Linked DNA regions of Neurospora crassa OR74A. The protein of the gene in region 2 purifies or fractionates together with the protein of the main gene of each other region. This does not show direct contact. Links are inferred from orthologs where the notes say so. Each region holds a gene or a part of one and is shown on either strand. Other genes may lie near its edges.

Region 1 (9,992 bases), on a different chromosome or scaffold from region 2:
GCACTTCATCCAGCTAAAAGTATTCCGTAGGTCGCTAGAGAAGAAACAGCCAACATATATAATATACCTAAATTCACATCCTGAATAACCAATGACGGTCCATAAGGTATTACTGCGTAACCTAAAAGAGAAAAAATTAATGTAATAACAGGACCTAAAAAGAATAATGTCATATTAGCTTGTGTAAGTGCTACATATTCTTTTAGTAAAAGTTTCAAAGCATCAGCAAATGCTTGCAAAAGTCCTAGGTAACCTACGGCATTCGGACCCAATCTTCTTTGCATACTTGCCATAGTTTTTCTTTCCGCTACTGTCACATAAGCTACTGCTAATAAAGAGGGAACTAATACCAAAAGAACTTCTAAAATCGAGATTATTGTTAGGGAATAAAACATAAAAAAAAAAAATTAGATTAAATGATGAAGAAGCAGAAGAAGAAGATCGAGATGAAGAATCGACCCCCCTCCGGGGTTGATTCAAGGCCCCACGGGCCCTCGAATCTTTTAATAATTGGAATTGATTTATTATTAAGCAATCTAGGCCAAAAAATTGAATTGTGTGTGCCAAAATATAAAATATTAAAACTTTAAAATTTAAAGTAGTATTCGTAAAGAATCATTGACTTTACTATCTAATGATTAATCACTTAATTCTCATTTTAGATTCGAACTAAAATCGGAATATTAGAAGTATCCTGCTCTTCCTTTGAGCTAATGAGAAATGTATAATACTCTTATCCCTAATCCCCCCCCTTATCCCCCTCCCCCGCCCTGCAGTACTGCAGGGGGGAAGGGGATTAAAGGGGATTAAAGGGGGGATACGAGGGGGGAAGAGTTTATACCCGTAGTAGTATATGTTTACATACTAGGTTGATTAAGCTTAAAATTTAAGCTACCCGTATATTCCATTTCTCCTACGAAGTAAGGCATAAAAAAACCAAGCCTTACTTAAGTCTAGCCCTATATTAAAAAATAAGCTTTCTTAAGTCGGGTATATAGACTAAATATTTAAGGTGAGGGGCGCAAGCTTACCCCATATAGATTGTGTTCATATTACTACGTTTCTAGGTTTTCCATACGTTCCTAGTGTCTCCTGGCTGGGCAGGGGCTACTGTTCTTTCCTCTTGTTTCCTAACTCTCCAGTCCTCTAAATGTCTACTAAATAATTTGAAATTTTATTGCGGCTGGTTAGGGAGGGATGGGATGGGATGGGATTGGATTTGATTTAATGCGGCTAGGTTATTTTACCCCCGCCCTGCAGTACTGCAGGGGGGAAGGAAGGAATTTTTTTTTCGATCTAATTTTTAGTTTTAGCCTGATTAAATGCATTTAGAAAGTATTTCTTTAATTTCATTTCTTGGTCATTGAAATCTCTACAAGAAGTTGGAAATTCTTGGTGGAGGAAATCTTTAAGTTCTTTACATTTATACTCACGCTGGATATTTTTCTGTATAATAGATTCCGCTAATTTAAAGTTTTTCATTTGACTATGTTGAACTTTATTTTGAAGCTCGAGATATTTTTTCATATCACCTTTAAAATTATAAGCAGTATTTTGCTGACTATTTCTGTCAAATGTATTTTTATGTTTTTGACCTTCTGTCATAAGTAAATTCTTGGATTCCTCGAGTTTATCTAGGATCTCCTTTAAATTTTTATGGCTTTCCGGATCCATAAACTGACCTAAAGATTTATAAATCGTAGATCTATATCTATTGTTTTCCTGTAGAGCGAATTCACGAAGTTTTAGCATCGAAATGATTTTGTTTCCATTCTCCTGATCAGCAAAATCAAGAGATCCTGGAAGATCATCTTCCAACTTAGTGGCTAGTTCTCTAACTACTGCAGTCGTCTGCAATTGAGAAGTTTCTATTCCCAAAAACTCAGCCAAAGCAGCTTTAACCTTAGGTGCTTGACTTCCCGTAATAGGAGCTAAGTTTTTTGGAGCTGACTTAGTTTGACTTCCCTTAGCAGCATCTAAGTTTTCTGCAGCTGACTTAGGTGTTTGACTTGCCTTAATAGCAGCAGCATCTAAGTTTTCTGCAGCTGACTTAGGTGTTTGACTTGCCTTAATAGCATCTAAGTTTTCGGCAGCTAATTTTTTGGCAGCTTTGGCAGCTTTTTTTACAGCTGACTTACTTTTACTTTTACTTCCCTTAGCAGCATCTAAGTTTTCTGCAGCTGACTTAGGTGTTTGACTTGCCTTAATAGCAGCAGCATCTAAGTTTTCTGCAGCTGACTTAGGTGTTTGACTTGCCTTAATAGCATCTAAGTTTTCTGCAGCTGACTTAGTTTGACTTGCCTTAGTAGCATCTAAGTTTTCCACTCCTTCAGTGGAAGACCTTGTTCATAAACCTTCTACTCAGTCTGGTTTATCTCGTATTCAACGCCTACGCACCATTGAGCGTGTTCTTGTTTTACGATAACCTCGGGATCTAGGACCTTGATCTGTTTGTGTTGTTTCATCCTCTGAATCTGTTTCTGGTGCTAATCGGTCTTGATTAGGACCTGAGCTTGCACCTGAATTTCCTTTTGCAGATGGAGGTGAATCTGAACCTCCTGATGCACCTGAGTCTGAACCTTTTTTATATAAAGTTAAAGGTCCACGTGGAGATGGTGTTTTTTTTTCACAAGACTCACCACCTACACCCGCAGGTAATTCAAAATCACTATAATATAGTTCTCCAAAAATTCTAGCTAAACTACCAAATAGGTACATCAAGGTTCAAAGATGAAGATCTAAAAATATTGAAGAAGCTTTAGGAGCTTCTACTCCTAAATTGGACGCTTCTACTCCTAAATTGGACTCTACTCAAATCATATTAAATAATCTTAAGCCAAAAAAAGGGAAATTTTTTACCAAATTTTGAGTAAAAAATACCAGAGTTCATATCTCCTGATCATAACAAATATATATACCTTTAACTATTAACATAGTAGGTAGAGCAAAAAAAATAAATATTTTAAACTTCTTAATCATATTCATTCAGATGGCTTTAGATATTTCAGTAATACGAGATTTAGAAGGTCAGTTCCAAATAGATGCTTGTAAATTTGAGGTCACAAAAAGGTGAGGTTTTGGTGGTGTTAAAGTTAGTTTATGAGTTAAAAATTGGATGAAAGTTAAAAGTTCAAGAAAATTAATTTTGCCTCCCACTGATTTCTTTTTGTTCCCCATATGATGATAATCTAAAAAATGATAAAAAAAATGATGAAGATTGTAATGGAAGACTCACGAATGAATGAGGTTTAGGTGGGCTACTTATAGATCATTCTAAACTAGGATAACTTCTATTTAAAAGAGCACGTAAACTATCAGTATAGAATTGTGGGATTGATCATGGATATCTACCTGCGTATTCTCCTTGAACTAGTTGTATATACACAATATATAAGAATAATCAAGAAGCTACTACACTTACGATTGACCCAAAACTACTTATTAAATTTCAACCTGAAAATGCGTCAGGGTAATCACTTATTCTTCTTGGCATACCTTGTAAACCTAAGAAATGTTGAGGGAAGAATGTTAAATTAACCCCTATGAATAAAAGTCAGAATTGAGCTTTAGATAACACCATATTATAATTTAAACCTAATATTTTAGGTACTCAGTGATATCATCCGCTAAACATTGCAAATACAGCACCCATACTTAATACATAGTGAAAATGAGCAACTACGTAATAAGTATCGTGGAATGCTATATCTAAAGATGCATTCGCTAAAACAACTCCACTTAATCCCCCAATTGTGAACATAAATACAAAACCTAAAGCAAATAACATAGAAGGAGTTAATCTAATAGAACCTCCATAACATGTAGCTAATCATGAGAATATTTTAATTCCTGTAGGAACTGCAATAATTAATGTAGCTGCTGTGAAATACGCTCTTGTATCCACGTCTAAACCAACTGTATACATATGATGACTTCAAACAATAAATCCTAATATTCCAATAGACATCATGGCGTAGACCATACCAATATAACCGAATACTGATTTATTAGAATAAGCTGATATTGTTGTACTTATTATACCAAAACCAGGTATAATTAAAATGTAAACCTCAGGATGCCCGAAGAATCAGAAAAGATGTTGGAATAAAATAGGATCACCACCACCAGCTGTTTCAAAGAATGATGTATTAAAATTTCTATCTGTTAATAGCATAGTAATTGCACCGGCCAACACGGGGAGAGATAGTAATAATAATACAGCTGTAATAACTACAGCTCATCCAAATAAAGCTAATTTGTGCAATCTAATTCCTGGTGTTCTCATATTTACTATTGTAGTTATGAAATTAATAGACCCTAATAAGGAACTAACTCCTGATAAATGTAGGGCAAAGATAGCCAAATCTACACTAGGTCCACTATGACTTTGTACACCTGATAAAGGAGGATAAATTGTTCATCCTGTACCTGCTCCACCTTCTATACATGCAGAGAATACTAATAATAGTAAACTTGGTGGTAACAGTCAGAAACTAATATTATTAAGTCTTGGGAATGCCATGTCAGGACCCCCTACTAATAATGGTAACAAGAAATTACCAAATCCACCTATTAATGCTGGCATAACCATAAAGAAAATCATTAAGATCGCATGTGCAGTTATTATAGCATTGTATAATTGATTATCTGCAATGTACTGCACCCCAGGTCCGCTTAACTCCATTCTTATTAAAACAGAAAATGCTGTTCCAAGTAACCCAGAAAATAGCGCAAAGATTAGATAAAGAACTCCTATATCTTTAGCATTCGTTGATAAAAATCATCTTTCAGTTCAAATCGAAATTGACGACATTAACCCGACACTTCTTTTACTTGAATTTAAAGAGAGCCCAAACTCCTCACTATTTAATTGATTAAATAATATAATGGTTTTTATTATAATGGTTACGTATCTTATAAATAAAAATAAAATAAGATTACAACATCTTATTGATTATACAATCAATGCTAACCAGGATATTCTGTAAACCGACCAACAGAATATCCCCGGTAACGTAATTCTGGATCACCTACGTAGGTGATTGACTGACTTACTAAAAAACACACTAGCCTTTCAATGTTTTGTGGACTTTCTTTTTTTTTTTTTTTTTAAAAAAAAAAAAAAAAAAAAAAAAGGCGGAATCACGGCTAAATCAGTATTAGAACCAACGAAGTGCCTTGCTATATTAAGTCAGCTATCCAATATTCCATTAGCCTCATGTAGTAAATTAACTTTTCTCGCTACCCTTATCCACATATCCCCCCGTCCCCCCGCCCTGCAGTACTGCAGGGGGGGGAAGGGGGATTGTGAAGAGTGGATGAGCGCCTTTGGAGGAGCGCACAAGTTATTATTATAATTCATTTTGCTCCCACTTCTAAACCCCCGCAAGCTTGCGGGGGGTTTGTTAGGAGAGCCTCCGCTACGCGAGAAAATGAAGACTTATCTTATTATTTAACCAAAATATTAAAAATATTTTGGGAGGCAATTATTTTTTAGCTTCCCCCCCTGCAGTACTGCAGGGCGGGGGGACGGCTAAAAAAATTAAGCGAAGCTCGCCTCCAAAATATGTAGGTAGTGTATATAAAAAAAAAAAGAAATATTTCTTTACCGGTTTATTTCTTCATAATACATATTTTGTTAAGGCGGGCGAAGCTTGCCTCAGAATCACTCCGCCTTTTCTACAACATCAGTTAAGATACTACTTAGTATCTTATATTCCTTTGTAGCCTACAAGAGAAGATTTAGTTTGTATATTTTAGGGGCTAGCGAAGCTCGCCTCCAAACTAAACTAAACCTAAATTTATTTTACATACAAATAATAAATCGAGCCGCGAGGCGTCTTTTTATCATATATTTTTAAAAACAAAAACAAATATATGTTTTAGTGCTTAAATATTATTATTATGTACTACCCCCATATTATTTAAGCCCTAAATACAGATAATTACTCCCCTTATAGAATTATTTTTTTTTTTTCATTAAGATAGTTAGTAAATTTATTAAATTTGCGGGCAGCTTGCTTCATTTTTTTTTGGGCTGGCGCTTATTTTTTTTAGCTTCCCCCCCCTGCAGTACTGCAGGGCGGGGGGACGGCTAAAAAAAATTAAGCTAGCCTCAAAAAAATTGGCTATAGGCTAACCCTAAAGGATTACGTAGGAATCGAACCTAATCCTTAAGATTTGCAGTCAAAGGGTAAACCATTTACATCGTAATCCTGATCCCTTGCTAAGATCAAATAATTATTTACGGCCTCCTCCGTTTCCCTCCACCCCCCCCCTGCAGTACTGCAGGGCGGGGGGACGGCTAAAAAAAAAATTAAGCGAAGCTCGCCTCGAGAAGTGGAAGGGAGGAAGGTAGGAAAGCTCGCCTCAAAAAAAACCAAATTAGCAAAGCTAAAAAAAATTTTTTTTAGCTTTGCTAAAAAAATCTTATTTCAAGTAGTTGAGATCTACAAGAGTATTCTCAATTAAACTAAGCACAGGTACTATAAATATAAAGTAACTGAAATAAAAGATTGTACTAAATTGACCTAATTCAATAAAAGGTGATTCTACATGACAAGCACCTAATTTCATTAAAATTAAGAAATTTACTACAAAAGCTCAGAAAGCGAATTTACTTAAAGGTCTAAATTGTAAACCTTTTGATCTACCTAAATCTGTTATAGGTAATAACATTATAGCTAATATTGCACTAAACATAGCAATAACTCCTAATAATTTATTAGGTATAGATCTTAATATAGCGTAGAAAGGTAATAAATATCATTCTGGCACAATAGCAGGTGGAGTTTGCATAGGGTTGGCCATTATATAATTTTCACTATCACCTAAAACATTGGGCATAAAGAAAACAAATGAACTTAAAACATATATAAAGATAAAAATAGTTATTAAATCTTTAAATAAATAATAAGGAGCAAATGTTATTCTATCGTAATTACCTGAAACACCTAAAGGGTTACTTGACCCTGCTGTATCATGAAGTGCAATCAGATGCATTAATACTAATGCTGCTAAAATAAATGGTAAAACAAAATGTAAAGCAAAGAATCTATTTAAAGTAGCATTGTTTACACTAAAACCTCCTCAAATGACAATATATTACGTATAATATTTAACTTATACTTTACACCCTTAAGGGTATATTTAGACTATATCTTAAACCCACTCATAGAGTGGATTTTGGGGGTATCGTGTTGAGCTTATTGTTGGTATAACTCACTCATTAGTCGTTGAACGTTCTTAATCCATTTTTTATATACCGAATTAAGTTTCGCTACAAATAATCTAATAAAACGGAGGTAATTTATTAAATGTCCTTGTAATTTTCCCCATTTGCCTCTAAAATATAATAAGATTAAACCCTACCTATTTTAAGGAGCCCCATTACATTTATTAATTTATATCTTTTGCAATCTATCTTGCATTATTTTGCATCAGGATAATTTAAGGTACTATAACGCAAACTTTCTCGTAAATTATTTAACCATTTTATATATTGAATATATTTCAACCCTACTAAAGGATGTAAACCTGAAAATGAAAAGAAATTTATAACTTTTTGTATATCAGATTTAGAACTAACACCAAATTGATTAAAATTATTTGTTGTATCTATTTTTCTATTAGTATTAAACATTAGTTTAAAGGCTTCAAATAAATTAGTATGTATTCTCTGTTTTAATTGAAAACAACCATCATTATTACTTTTAATAAAAAATGAACCCTCAGAACATGTAAATCCGACTATTCAATTTTTAAAAAAAGGCAATAATGTGTAATCAATAGGATTTTTAGGTATCTCAAAAACAGCAGGTGTGTTATCGGGAATTTGATTATACATCTTAATATCATTTTTGAATATATACATAGCTAAGTTAAATTGATCTGCTCTAGTATTAGTTAAGAAAAAAATCTTATTATACATAAGCAATGGGAACAATATTTCTTGTAGATCCGTTTTATTAATTACTAATTTACAAGTTGGACTTCTTAAATCCTTATAAATATTTATCTTACCTATTTTTAAAACAGAATGAATATATTCTAAAATAGAAAGATCTTCTAAATGAAGAGATATAACTAACTTAATTGCTATGAAACCTTTAGATGTTTTAGTTACTTGAATATACCCATCACCATCAACCAATCCAGCTAAAAAAGCTAAAAATGATGAAGGAATGGATATATATTCTTGTTTATCTAATCTTAAAGCCTTATTTGATTTCTTTAAAGCGTTTTGATGAATAACACCTATCGTAGGAAGGTTAGATGAAAAATTAACATGTAGTAAGATATAATAATACACAACTACAATTGAAAATAAAATAGCAATAAAAGATAAATTAATAATTAAAGTAATAATTTTTGACTCAACAATATCTTGTCCAATTCATGGAATTGCACTTATTAAATTGGTAATAACAGTAGCACCTCATAAACTCATCTGTCCATAAGGTAAAACATACGTACTTACTTATTATATCAATAATAAGCTGGAATAACTTTTAATTCGTGTATTCCATTAATTAAATACCTTTGTTTAATTAAAAGTTCCGACTGTACATTAAGCAGCATTTCAGCCACCCATTAGTGACCCAGTCTGTAGCGATTATTTATATAACCGACGGTCTTGTCCCAGCATAAGTAGAGGGATTTTAACCGTTTTCACTAACATCGCCAAATAGTACTAAAACTATTTTACATCCCTGTCGGGATGTACCACTTTAATCTTTTTTTTTCTATAAAAATTGCAAAAAGATTTATACTCATGGGACTATGGTTTATATAAGAATAAAGTATAATAAAGAATAAAGTATAATAAGGAATAAAACCTATTTGTCAGAAAAATCTTCTACTATTCACTGTCTTTTAACTAATTTTTTTTCTGTCTGCAGTGCTCTTCTAATGGTTTTTTCATTACAGTTAATAGCATTAGCTGCTTCTAAAATAGTAGAGTACTTACCGTAAATAGTTCTATTCAAGTTATATAACACAACAGGTCTTGTATTAGCAATACATTTTATTTTAGTTTCTTCTGACATAGGAGGTCTAGTTAAAGCCTTTTCTCTTATTTTTTCTATTGTTTCAGGAGAAAACTTTTTACCCCTATTTAGACTACCTATCTTTTCTCGTCTAGCGTCACTATAAAGATCTTTCATCTTTTGACGATCTATTTCAGTATGTTTGTAACCAAAACTAGAACCTGCTTCGGTTAAAATATTATAATTAGGCACTAATAGTTTTAAATATTTATCTTCTAAATCCAATAATTCCTTGTTATTTTCTTTGGTAACAACATTAGGATATAAATCTAATATAACAAAAGCAAAATTTTTCAATTCATACTTTTTAATTGCTAATTTAACTATTTTGCTACCTGTAAAATGAATAACATGATTACAGAATCTAGTATAAAATCTATTATTGGATGCAGAACCTATATAATAATCTTTTGTTGTTTTATTAATTATCATATATACACCGCTTAAATCTCTTGTATCATGTAATATTTGTTTTCAACTGGAAGGTTGATTTAAATCTTCATAAACATATACAGGGTTTATACCTAATTCATTAATAATCGTTTGTAATCTTTCAGACATTTCAGGACTATTTAAAGAACTACTTGTACAATAACCTCTTTTTACTAGATTTTTGTTAAACAATCTCTTGTTTATTCTTCCCCCCCACCTCTGGAGGAGGGGGGGCAACGAATTTGTGATATTACCTTTATTACTTATACTACCTTTATTACTTATATCAAACCATTTTGGGCTATGTTGATAACCCAGGAAGGCAGTAGCCATCATAAGTATAAGGATTACTGTTCCGATAGCTCAAACTAATGTTCTAGGAGCTCTATAAGATCCATAATACATTCCTCTTCCTATATGTAAATAAACTAAGAAGAAGAAAGCTGAAGCTGTGTTACTGTGTAAGTAACGTACTAATCATCCATTATTCACATCACGCATAATATGTTCTAT
Region 2 (10,558 bases):
GGAACTCCTGGCTGGCCCATGCCCATTCCGGGAGGCATCATGCCGCCCATACCGGGCATGCCGGGGAACCCTCCTCCCGGAAAAGGTGGCATACCACCAGCACCGGAACCGGGAGCTCCACCTCCGCCAAGCATGTCGAGCATCATTTGCATCATCGGGTCCTCAGCGCCCGGACCACCCTGACCGCCCGGCCCTGCTCCCAGTAGGCTGGCAAAGGGGTCGCCGCCGGCGGCACCTGGAACCATGGGGGATTCGCGGCCGAGCATCATCTGGCGCAGGCTCTCTTCGGAGAGGTCGTTCGGGTCGAAGGGGGAAGGACCTTGTGTAGGCTGTGGCAGCTTGGGAATTCTTGGGGTGGTGTTTGGTTGGTAGAAGTGTTCAGAGGTGGAGATGTCGACCTCTTCGGGGTCGGCGTGAACTCGGGGTGCGGAGCTGGAGGTCGGGACTGGCAATGTCTTGTCATCGTTGCTGCTGCTGCTGCTGGCTGGCTGCGTAGGAGGAGGGTCTGAAGAGAAGACCAATGTCAGCTTTGGTTTAGTGCCATTTACATGATATTGTACTATGCTAGGACACGCGATGGATGGACGGAAAACACTGACCTCTTTCAACACCGCCTCCCAACCCAGTGATCTTGTTTAGACGATTTCCGGCATTGGCCCTGATCTTAGCCTCGCGTCGCTCCTTTCGAATGCGAGCCTGCTCGAGGGCGCGCGCCTCTGCCTCGTCTGCGGGGGAAATTCCCTCTGTCATGGTCTTTGTTGTCCGAGATACTCGTTGATTTGGGTGGGTGTCGTTAGGTACAAGATCGATCCGTCACTCTGTTGTTCCAATGTATGTATTTGTTTCGATATTCGTTTTGCGCGCCCGCGCAGAGGGATTGATCGGTTGAGGGATGGATGATGATTTATTTGTAAAAAAAAAAAGAGAAGAAATGGACAGATTGAAGTAGAAGCGACAAAGGTGATTGTGACGTCGTGCCTTCTTCTTCAGTGGACGAACGTGGCTCTTCCGGTTCCCTCTTGCTCCCTGTTGGTCGCTGTTGTTCAGCTACGTACAGTACATAGGTAAGGTCCGGGATGCCCGCCATCGGACTACTGAGCTGTCGGTCTGCCCCGTCCCCAAAAATCCTTATCTATGTCCCGCCTTATCGGAAGGTCCACACGTACTGAGGAGCTAGGTACCTACCCCTGCATTCACTGTTGTTGAGTGTTGACCCCCCCCGCGAACCCCTTTTTCCTTGTCACATCGGCGTCGTTCGGATGCAATGCAGGTGTGCAAGTACGTGGTGGTAGAGCATTGTTTCTCAAGGTGAAGCTCTGATACCCATCTTGGCGGCTATATATAATATATTCCTTTCAAACTATAGTACCACTGAGATCATCTTTGTTACTCATATGTCGACACTCTTCCATCCATCTACCTCTTTTGAGCAAGACCCTTTGTTTACTAATGAATTGACATCGGTTATGACATCTCGACCGTACCGCTCAAGTGACCACAATCACAAATCCCTTATGTTCCCCAACTTGAAAGCCCACATCAGGCTACCAAGTGAGCGGACTCATGCGGTCGTTCTTCAAATGGCTGTTCTGTCTTCCTACCCCTCGACCTCCTGAAACTCAACAGCTCCACGATGACGAGGACCATGAGAATGAAACCAAGAATCATGAAGGGAATAAGGTTGTAGCGCCATCCGCGCATGGTTCTCAATTTCTTCTTCAGTATGTCGTGATCGTCGCTGTGGACAAGTGATAGACTGTTGACCAGCGTATACCAGTTCTCCGGGGTCCAAGAGTCCCGTGGGTACGGCTTCGGAGCACTGCCTTCTGCGTAGGCGAGGTCGATACCCTGATCCGAATGCTTGTTGGTCAGGACATAGGTATAGATCAGAGCCGTGAGAGTAAGAAGCCAGCTGAGAATCGTGATAAGGGCCCAGAGATAGTAGAATGGCGATGTTTTCCCGTACTGCCACAAGGTTAGTACCATAGACGCACACTGCACAATGATTCTACGAGAATGAACACATACCTTTGCCCTGGACCTATGCTCCAACCACAAAGCTAGGAGGCCACCGAACCCTACAAGGACGACGCCCGTACCTCCTGCTGCATTTGTCGTGTGGCCGTGGTCCGTCAAAAGATGTGCAGGTTCTCCGGGAAGGTCGAAGACCGAACCAAGTCGTCGGACCTCGAATGGTTGGCCGCCGCGTCCATGAAGAAATGCCACCATTGACGAGACAAGGGATAATGAGATGGCTGCGTCAACGTAAAGCAAAAACAAAGCCACATAGATGGCTTTCATGAGCCTGCTTGAAGCCATTGTGAACGAATCCCACTAGGGCTGAGGGAATAGAAGAGCTTAACAGTGTGAAGAAGGACAAGAACAGTTGGGGTCTTGATATGGCAAAGTGCAATGTGGTTGGGGCCTGTCCAAGTTACCCCAGATATTGACAACAGCGCCAGCCGTCTTATATGAGAGCGGACCGACTGCGGTCGTGCCGGTGTGTCTTTTCTCTCGTTGGGCGAAAGGCCTTCTCTCAGCCGTCTTTGGGGACGCGGATTGGGTCCCATTTCCAAATGTGGTGGTTGTCAGCTTGTCCACACGTAAGCACACAAAACTGACACTGCCTCTTCATGATGTGCAGTGAGATTGGCTCGACCGGGTACGTACTTCTCTTCTTTGTTCCAAAGGAGGGATATCACTGCGTATGCCCAGCCAACGCCACGAGAACCCTTCCATATGAGAGATGCCTAGTCTGCAGCATGGAACTGCCACGCGCTGATCCGTGGAAGCAAAGCATCCAGCACGAGGCTCGGCTCGCTTCGCAAGGTTGTAACCCGTTTTGTGGCTATACACAACAGAGCTTGCCTTGTCAGATATGGGATATTGTGACGTCCTGTACCGACGAATACTATTCTTTGTTGGGAGTTATTCGAGGCCGGTCGCAACCTTGAGAGTAAAAAGAGTCCAGTCCCCACTGGAGGATAGAAATTGACCGTGTCTCACGGCATATGGCGTTGAAGCCAACTGCATCATAGGCGGACAGGAAGAGACCATACTTCTCAGCCCGGTGGAATAGTAGCGCCACGCTTTGAAGGTAAGAGCCAAAATAGGAAACTTGCCTCTCGGCCATCGTCATTAGGCATATAAGCAGAGAAATGCTGAACGATACAGCAACAGAACCACAGTTCATGGATTGGCAAGCTAACCGGCAACTCAACAGGAGTTTATCCTGTTTTCTTCTTCTTCTTGAACCTGGGACAACGAAGGACAAAGAAATGATGCATTTGCAACTTCTGAACAGAACGGGATAGTCTCATCGAGAAAAAAAAAAGAACATAAAAAGCCCCCAAATATCGCGGTGCCGACAAGGGCTGTTTGGAGGAAGCATTTAACACAACCCCGAGATTCTCTCGTCAACTCCTAACCCTCACCAGCCACCCCGACAGCTGGGTACTTGCTGCTACAAGAATATTGCCCAAAGGCTATGCACTGATCAAATCGTAGTGGGGTGGTCGACGTAGTGCCGCCCCACTGCCTATCGATAAACGAGTTATCGTAGGAATCGTCGCCAGGGCAGCTTCCATTTGGTAGGTAGGTCGGGTAGCTTTAGTGTACGGGACGAACTCCAGAAGCTTGTGTCAACACATCCTCCCGTCCCGTCCCTCCCCATCGTTCGTCTGAAAAATAACCTTCACACGAAAGTACACATATCATTCACACACACATAAACACACACAATGCTCTCTAGGATAACACAACGTATGGCGCTAAAGAGGGCGCTGGCGAGGCCTTCCCCTTGCGCCAAGGGCCGCGCTCAACCCCAGAGGAGATCTCTCACATCGGCACCCAGGCCTGGCGATGGTCCGTTGATGGAGAGGCGAGCTGATCGTGAACTTCCTGGTATGTTCTCCCCGTGTCTCTTCTTCTTCTTCTTCTCTTCTCTGTGTTCTGTATTTCCTGCTGTTTCCGCACCCCAATTGAGTTCCTTAGTACCATGGAAGTTACTGACCCCTCTTCCCTTTGCAACCACAAAAACAGATGTCCAAACCTCCCGCTTCCGCTGGTCCCGCACCTTCCCCATCTTCTTGGGCATCGTAGCCGCCACCTCGATCGCAATCTTCAACTACCAGAAACTCTCTTCCCCCGTGGTCGAGTCAACCCTCTATGCGCTGCGCACGAACCAGCGCGCGCGCGAGTACCTGGGTGACGAGATCTACTTCAAGGCGCAGATTCCGTGGATCTCGGGCGAGATGAACCAGCTGCACGGCCGCATCGACATCAAGTTCAATGTCAAGGGCACCAAGCGCACGGGCGTGATGCGCTTCGCCAGCTTCCGGCCCACGCCCCGAGGCATGTTCGAGACGACCGAGTGGAGTCTGGAGACGGAGGACGGCAAGGTCATTGACCTGCTGGAGGAGGGCGATCCGTTCAGAGCTATCAACGGCCGTGCGATGGAACCTGAGCTGGATGATGATGCAGAGGATGCGAAGGTCAGGGGTTTCAGGCAGATGCCCAAGTAATTGTTTTGGGGTGCTCTTAAGGAGGGAATAGTTTTGAAAAAAGGGAGGATATATATGGGAACCGGGGAAGGTGGTGGTCCCCCTCTCCCCCTCTCAAACAGGATGAGCTGAAGGACAGGATCGTGGTCTGGCTCTCTGATTGAATACCCGAAGGCTGTCAAGGAGGAATATGTGTAAGATATAGGGAGAGAACATACGAACCTATCACGGGCAAGGGTTGTATGTTCAAGTTGTTATACATTTTCGGTAGCTGTACATTTTAACACCCCACGATGCGTGTGTATCATACAAGAGAGAACTAAAAAAAATGAGAAACCGGGAAGGCTTTACCATACATTCCCTTCCATAAACCTAGTACAAACACATACTACAGACCAGAGACAGCCCCCCTCTCTTAAGCCGAAGCTTCTACCGCAGCATTTCCATCCGCCTTCTCTGTCAGCCCATTCTTGATGAGCGAATCTATCAGGCCCTGTCTCCTCGCCTCCTTGAGCTCCAAGTGCAACTTCCTCGCCGCCTGCAACTTCTCCTCCGCATCAGGGAACCGCTCGTTGAGGAGCTGCTTGGTGGCCTCGACAAACTCCTCCGGGGGAGGAGCCTTCTTGACAGCATCCTGAACCTTGACAACCGCACCCTTGTGACCAGCGACCGCGCCCTTGACCACCACGATGCCGAGCTCGTTGTCCACCATCAGAATGGGCAGGTTCTGGACCGTGTGCTGCTGCGCGCCCATGCGACCGGGCATCTTCTTGCCGGGCAACACACGCGAACCGGAGCCCTGCGAACCACCGACGGAACCAATGGTACGGTGGTTCAGCGAGTTACCGTGCGACGCCTCCTGACCGGCGAAGCCGTGACGCTTCATACCACCGGCAAAACCCATACCGCGCGTGATGCCGCGCACGTCCACCACCTGGCCGACGTGGAACCAGTCCGGAAACAGCTGGACGCCGACCGGCAACAAGCCGTCCTGGTTGCGCACCTTGAACTCGGCGAGCGTCTGCTTGGGCGGGATGCCCTTGGCCTCGTAGTAGCCGAGCTGCGGGGCGCCCACGTTTTCGGCGCGGCGCTCGCCCAGGCCAACCTGGACGGCCCAGTAGCCGTTCTTGGCGCGCGTCTTGTTGGCGACGACTTGGACCCGGTCGAGCTGCAGAACGGTGCAGGGGATGCGGGCGCCGGTGCGGCCCATGAAGACGGTCATGCCCTTCTTGACAGCGAGCACGCCGGTGCGCAGGGGTGTAGTCTTCTCGCGGCGCTTGAGGGCAGCGGCCGGGCCCGAGGTGGGCGCCGGAAGACCCTGCGTCACTTGGTTGAATCGTGTGGGCCTGCTGCGCTTCGGGAGCGTGCTCCAGCCGTACTTGACGCCGCGCTTTGTGATCTGAGGGAGGAGGGAGGGAAAGACAGTCGATGGCGAGGAGGCGGAGAAGGTGGGTGTGGTCCGGCCGGCGAGGAGGAGGGAGCTGGCGGCGGCGGTGGTTGTGGTGTGGGTGGCTGACCTCTCGACGAGGGAGAGCTGCCTCCAGCAGCGCGCGGGCAGCCGGGGCGCCATCGTGTATGTGTATAAGTCTGAGGGGAGGGTTGGGTGGTGTTGTGTTGCTTTTGGTGGGGTTGGTCGCAGTCAATTGGACCTGACGGTGTTCGTTGTATCGATGTCGGGGCCCCGGAGCGTCGAGTGGGGGGAATGGAAAGGACACCGGCTGTCTTCGAGACGCGAACCGGAGGGGGCGGAGTTGGGAGGTCGTTTCGGCGCGCGGCCGTTGAGGTGGTTTTGGGGCGGGTGCGGGAGTGGTGGTCGCCGGCTCGAAGCACGGAGCAGCAGAAATTTGATAGCCACTCAGAAATTCAGTAACGGGATGCTCCCCCCCCGATAACGTCGATCGGTTCGGCATCCGGGGATTCACAATTGACAGGGGAGGGGCGGCTATTCACAGGCGGGTACTATGTATTTGGCGGATTGTGGTGTACAGAGTGTGACATCTCTACAAGAAGGGTTAGGGTTAATTGCTTCTTTCTATTCACTTAGGTAGTTTTACTTCCGCTGGAGTGCGGGCGCATTTTACCGCATTGGATCCCCCAAACTCAACCGCTAAAACATCTTCACTCGAACCACCACCACACAGCCCCAGAGAAGAAATCGCGTTTTTGCATCTTGGTTTCCCTTCTTGCACGAAGTGTCTTTTTCATTGTCGCCGTTTTGAGATACCCAATATTCCCATCTTTCATTTCTTCCAAAGGCATCAGCAACCATGGTCTTCTATTTCACTTCGACCGTCGTCAGTCCCCCGGCTTTCATTTATGTGGGGAAAGACAAGTTTGAGAGTACGTGAAGATGATCATCAGCCACAATTGGTGGTATTCTGCATCTCCTTGTGGAATATGCATATATCTTGACACACTCATGGACATTGCATATTTGACTTGGATATAGATGTCAGCTCGTCACTCATCTAACATGCTATTTTATAGACGAGGAGTTGATCCAACACGGCTGGGAGGAGGATGTATGGTAAGTTTCACCCCGGCCAAGCCTAGTTCGGCATTTTCTAACTATTCTTCGTAGGGTATGACTCCCCATGAGGTTCTCGTCATATTATGCTCTGTTTCTCATTACTAGGCCCTACTTAGTTCCATGTCGACAAACTTTCCAGTGCTCATATCTACCTCCGTCTCCCAGAGGGTTGGACATGGGAGAACATTCCCGAGGAGCTCCTGACCGACCTTGGTCAGTTGACCAAGGCCAACTCCATCGAGGGTAAGTTGCTGCTTTTGAATTCTACTGTCAGGAAGTCATGGGGGAATTCGTGAGGACTAACTCTGTGCTTTTGTAAAGGTAACAAGAAGGACAACATCACAATCATCTATACCCCATGGGCCAATCTCAAGAAGGACGGCAGCATGGCGGTCGGCCAGGTCAGCTTCAAGGATCAGAAGAAGGTGAAGCGCATTTTGATCGCGCAGCGCGAAAATGCTATCGTCAACCGTCTGAACAAGACCAAGGTTGAGAAGCACCCGGACCTGCGAGAGGAGAAGGAGCAGCATCTCAAAGAGCTGCGCAAGAAGGATCAGGCGGCGGTGCTGGCGCGGAAGAAGGAGGAGGATCGCCTGAAGAAGGAGCGGGCCGAGAAGAAGTGGCAGAAGGATCATGCCTACGATGAGCTCTTTGCTGAGGAGAACATGATGAACTCGAGCAATCAGGATCGGGATGAGACCTGGGAGGATGATTTCATGTAAATTTGCTTGAGAACAAAAGAAACAAACCTACTGAAGTTTTCCAAGCTACATAAGACCTGAAAATCCTTTGATGCCCGAAAGCCATCGTCAGAACCTTCCCAACCTTGATTCCTATCTGGTATGCTGCCGCCTTTAAAGCAGCAGACTAAGAACTAAACCCGGTTTGACCCATCACTAGAGGTAGCTCCTTTATCCACTCTCGAACCTCTTTCTACCCGTCACTCATTCCTCACTCCCCTCAAAAGGTCCTCTCTACTACCCCTGACGGTTATATCCCACACCTCTTGCATCCGCCGTTCCCTTAACCTTATGATCCGTCGGCCTAGCCGCCGCCTCGTAGACGATATTCTTCGGCGCTTGTCCCAACGTCATCCACTCCCCCTTGAAACCAATATAACTGATTCTCGTTTCATCCTCCTCTCCTTGCGAAAAATTATCCGGGAAAAACAAGCACAGTCTTTGCACGGCGTTGAACTTGGCTCGCTTGACGGGCAATTCCTGGATTTCCGAAGTCTGGGAGAGCTCGAATTCTTGTGTGGGGGTAGAGTCCTCAGCTTGACCGAAATCGTGGATGTCGGCGTTGGCGAGGAGGCGGAGGGTGCGCGGGGCCGAGGGGGAGGGCGAGGTGCGCAGGAGGACCGAGTGCAGTTTGATTTGGGCTGTGAAACTATTCGGGAAGGGTCGGTGTGTTAGTGATTGGGTGTGTATGATGGGGTCATTGTATGATGTGTATGTTACGGGAGAGGAGTGACATTGAAATTTCGTGATGATGTGAATGACTTGAGTGATCAAGTGTGATAAAGTAGTAGTGTGACATACGGAACGTTGATAATCAGCTGCTCATCAGCATCGCTCACCACCTCGGGCTCCGTCGCCAATCGTTCGGCCCACGTCTTCTTGATAATGGCCTGGCCGGAGCCGTGCACCTGCTCGTTCAGCGTGGTGATCTCGTCAAAGTTGATGTGCTGGTACAGCGAGAACTGCACGGCGGGGGTGATGTCGTCAGAGTGGTCGTGCTCTGCCCCGCCCTCATGATGGTGGTGGTGGTCGTCGTGCTCGTCGTGGCAGTGGTGCGACATTGTCCTGAGTTGAGGTGTTGGAATATAAGATTTCTGTGCCTCGTGTTGTCAAGGTTTTGATGATTGATATTGACGACGGGGTGGTTGTTGAAGTTTGGTGAAAGTGAGGGGCCAAGACAGAATGCTTCCGTCGTAAACCTGCGTGATTTGAGTTGACCGTTAGTTCTTCCAGTGGGTGATTGCAACCAACTACATTTCAACGACGACCGTCAACAAAAATGCCTTTCGGAGATCGGAAAGCTAAATGGAAGATGTAGAATAGCATGCAAACAACTTTGACGAAAGTCGTTTACAAGAATTGGCCTATACATTGAACGCCGAATCTTCGAGTGTTTTCCGCACTTTCTCATCCAAACATCCATCGATCAGCAAGCAAACGAACTACCTCCACCATCGGTCACACATATCTATTTGTCACACAACATCACGTCAGGATCAAGCACGTAAAACACGAGGTTGCCATACGGTCATATTCATCTATCTGAATCCCATCCGCTTCTTCACCTTTTGCTTCTTCTTCACATGAGAGGGCCTACCTCCATGCGGTCCTGCAACAATTTGTGACATGGGCTGCGATGCAAAAAACTGCGATGACTCCGGCTGAGTGTTCTGCGTGAAAGCAAAACCTCTCGGCTGGCTCGACTGAATGGCAAAGGGCAGTGGTTGACTTTCTGCCTTGACAGCTTCAACTCCGCGAATCCTCGCCAGCAACTTCTCTCTCTTCCTGCGCTTTGCCTCGAGCTTGCGCCTTCTCCTAAGACCAGCATCATCTTCCTCGTCATCTTGACCTGGCTTCCATGTGATGACATTGGGGTCTTCACCAAGCTCCCAGTGAGAGGTGACTCGGGTTCTACCGCCACTTCTCTTCGAAACGGGGTTCATGGCCACGTACTGGCGTAGCCTCACGCCCACTACATCTTCACCGTCTGGTTGATCTTGACTCTGGTTCGTATCATAGCCTTGAGACTGTGATTGCGACTGTGAGTGCTGTACGAACTGGGAGTGAACTTGTGAGGAGAACAAGGGAGGAGAGCTGCCAAAAGGCATGGAACTGGCAAATGGCTGGCTCTGACTCAATCTGCCATCCCAAGTCTCCGCTGCAGCCCATTCTTCAGGTACTGCCGCTACTCCGGCCTCCGAAAGCAGAGTCTCGGCCGCGAGAAGCTGCAGCTTGGGAATGAGAGTTTCTCGGGACGCCTTTCGATGGTTCAAGGGAAGATGAGAGAACATCGCCATCAACTTCTCAAAGGCGCGGTCTATCTCGTCACCCAAGACGTGACGAGCATTGGTGGGAACCAGTCTCCCAGGAACGTTTTCGAGCAACAAGTGCTGATGGGATGACCAACGTGAGGCGAGTCCGACGACGTCTTGAACACCTCTTGTTTGTTTTACTAGATTAAGTCTTTGACGCAAAGCGTTAGCAACCTGTCCCGACGGAAAAGGAGGAATGACAGGTGTGTGTGGTGAGTCCTAGATCAGAAATAGAACAATGTATAGGTGTATTTTGGTAATCATTGTTGATCATAAACAGCCTCTCTTTCGAGAAATCATCATATTGGACGGATACTGTGCAAAGTATAAATTACGTCAACTTACAGAGAGTGTCTAGGCATATAGCCATCGTGTGTCTCACGACTAAGGACGTCGGCGATGCGAGTAATGTCGACTTCATTTTGCGATGACTGTGCCTCGTTCGACGTTGAGGGAACCACTAGCGTGTTGGCC

The links. Proteins that work in one complex are often made in the same cells at the same time.
Region 1: the proteins of NCU06748 (region 2) and NCU16016 purify together in Saccharomyces cerevisiae (affinity purification with western blotting, with the first as the bait; 4 studies listed by BioGRID). This does not show direct contact. The link is inferred for Neurospora crassa OR74A from reciprocal best matches to the Saccharomyces cerevisiae genes COA1 and COX1.

The regions. Positions count from the first base shown.
Region 1 is NC_026614.1:34,089-44,080, reverse strand, and holds NCU16016 (cytochrome c oxidase subunit 1), read right to left. Parts: upstream 4,814-9,992; coding exon 3,140-4,813; downstream 1-3,139. Other genes in the region: NCU16018 (NADH dehydrogenase subunit 1), read right to left, coding at 1-395; NCU16017 (hypothetical protein), read right to left, coding at 1,297-3,177; NCU16014 (group I intron endonuclease), read right to left, coding at 8,838-9,992; NCU16013 (cytochrome b), read right to left, coding at 6,430-7,097, 8,374-8,467, 9,789-9,992; NCU16015 (laglidadg endonuclease), read right to left, coding at 7,430-8,470, 9,792-9,992. UniProt on the Saccharomyces cerevisiae protein: Component of the cytochrome c oxidase, the last enzyme in the mitochondrial electron transport chain which drives oxidative phosphorylation.
Region 2 is NC_026502.1:2,063,321-2,073,878, reverse strand, and holds NCU06748 (hypothetical protein), read left to right. Parts: upstream 1-3,577; 5' UTR 3,578-3,740; coding exon 3,741-3,903; intron 3,904-4,041; coding exon 4,042-4,523; 3' UTR 4,524-4,917; coding exon of another isoform or gene 4,918-6,072; 3' UTR 6,073-6,199; downstream 6,200-10,558. Other genes in the region: NCU06746 (hypothetical protein), read right to left, coding at 1-505, 600-750; NCU06747 (hypothetical protein), read right to left, coding at 1,540-1,965, 2,029-2,319; NCU06749 (mitochondrial 54S ribosomal protein YmL9), read right to left, coding at 4,918-6,072; NCU06750 (coiled-coil domain-containing protein 25), read left to right, coding at 6,770-6,842, 6,990-7,029, 7,172-7,275, 7,354-7,754; NCU06751 (DUF1000 domain-containing protein), read right to left, coding at 8,010-8,421, 8,574-8,833; NCU06752 (hypothetical protein), read right to left, coding at 9,311-10,235, 10,430-10,558. UniProt on the Saccharomyces cerevisiae protein: Required for efficient assembly of cytochrome c oxidase in the mitochondrial inner membrane. Involved in a step coupling MSS51-dependent cotranslational insertion of COX1 to the addition of its heme A and copper B cofactors.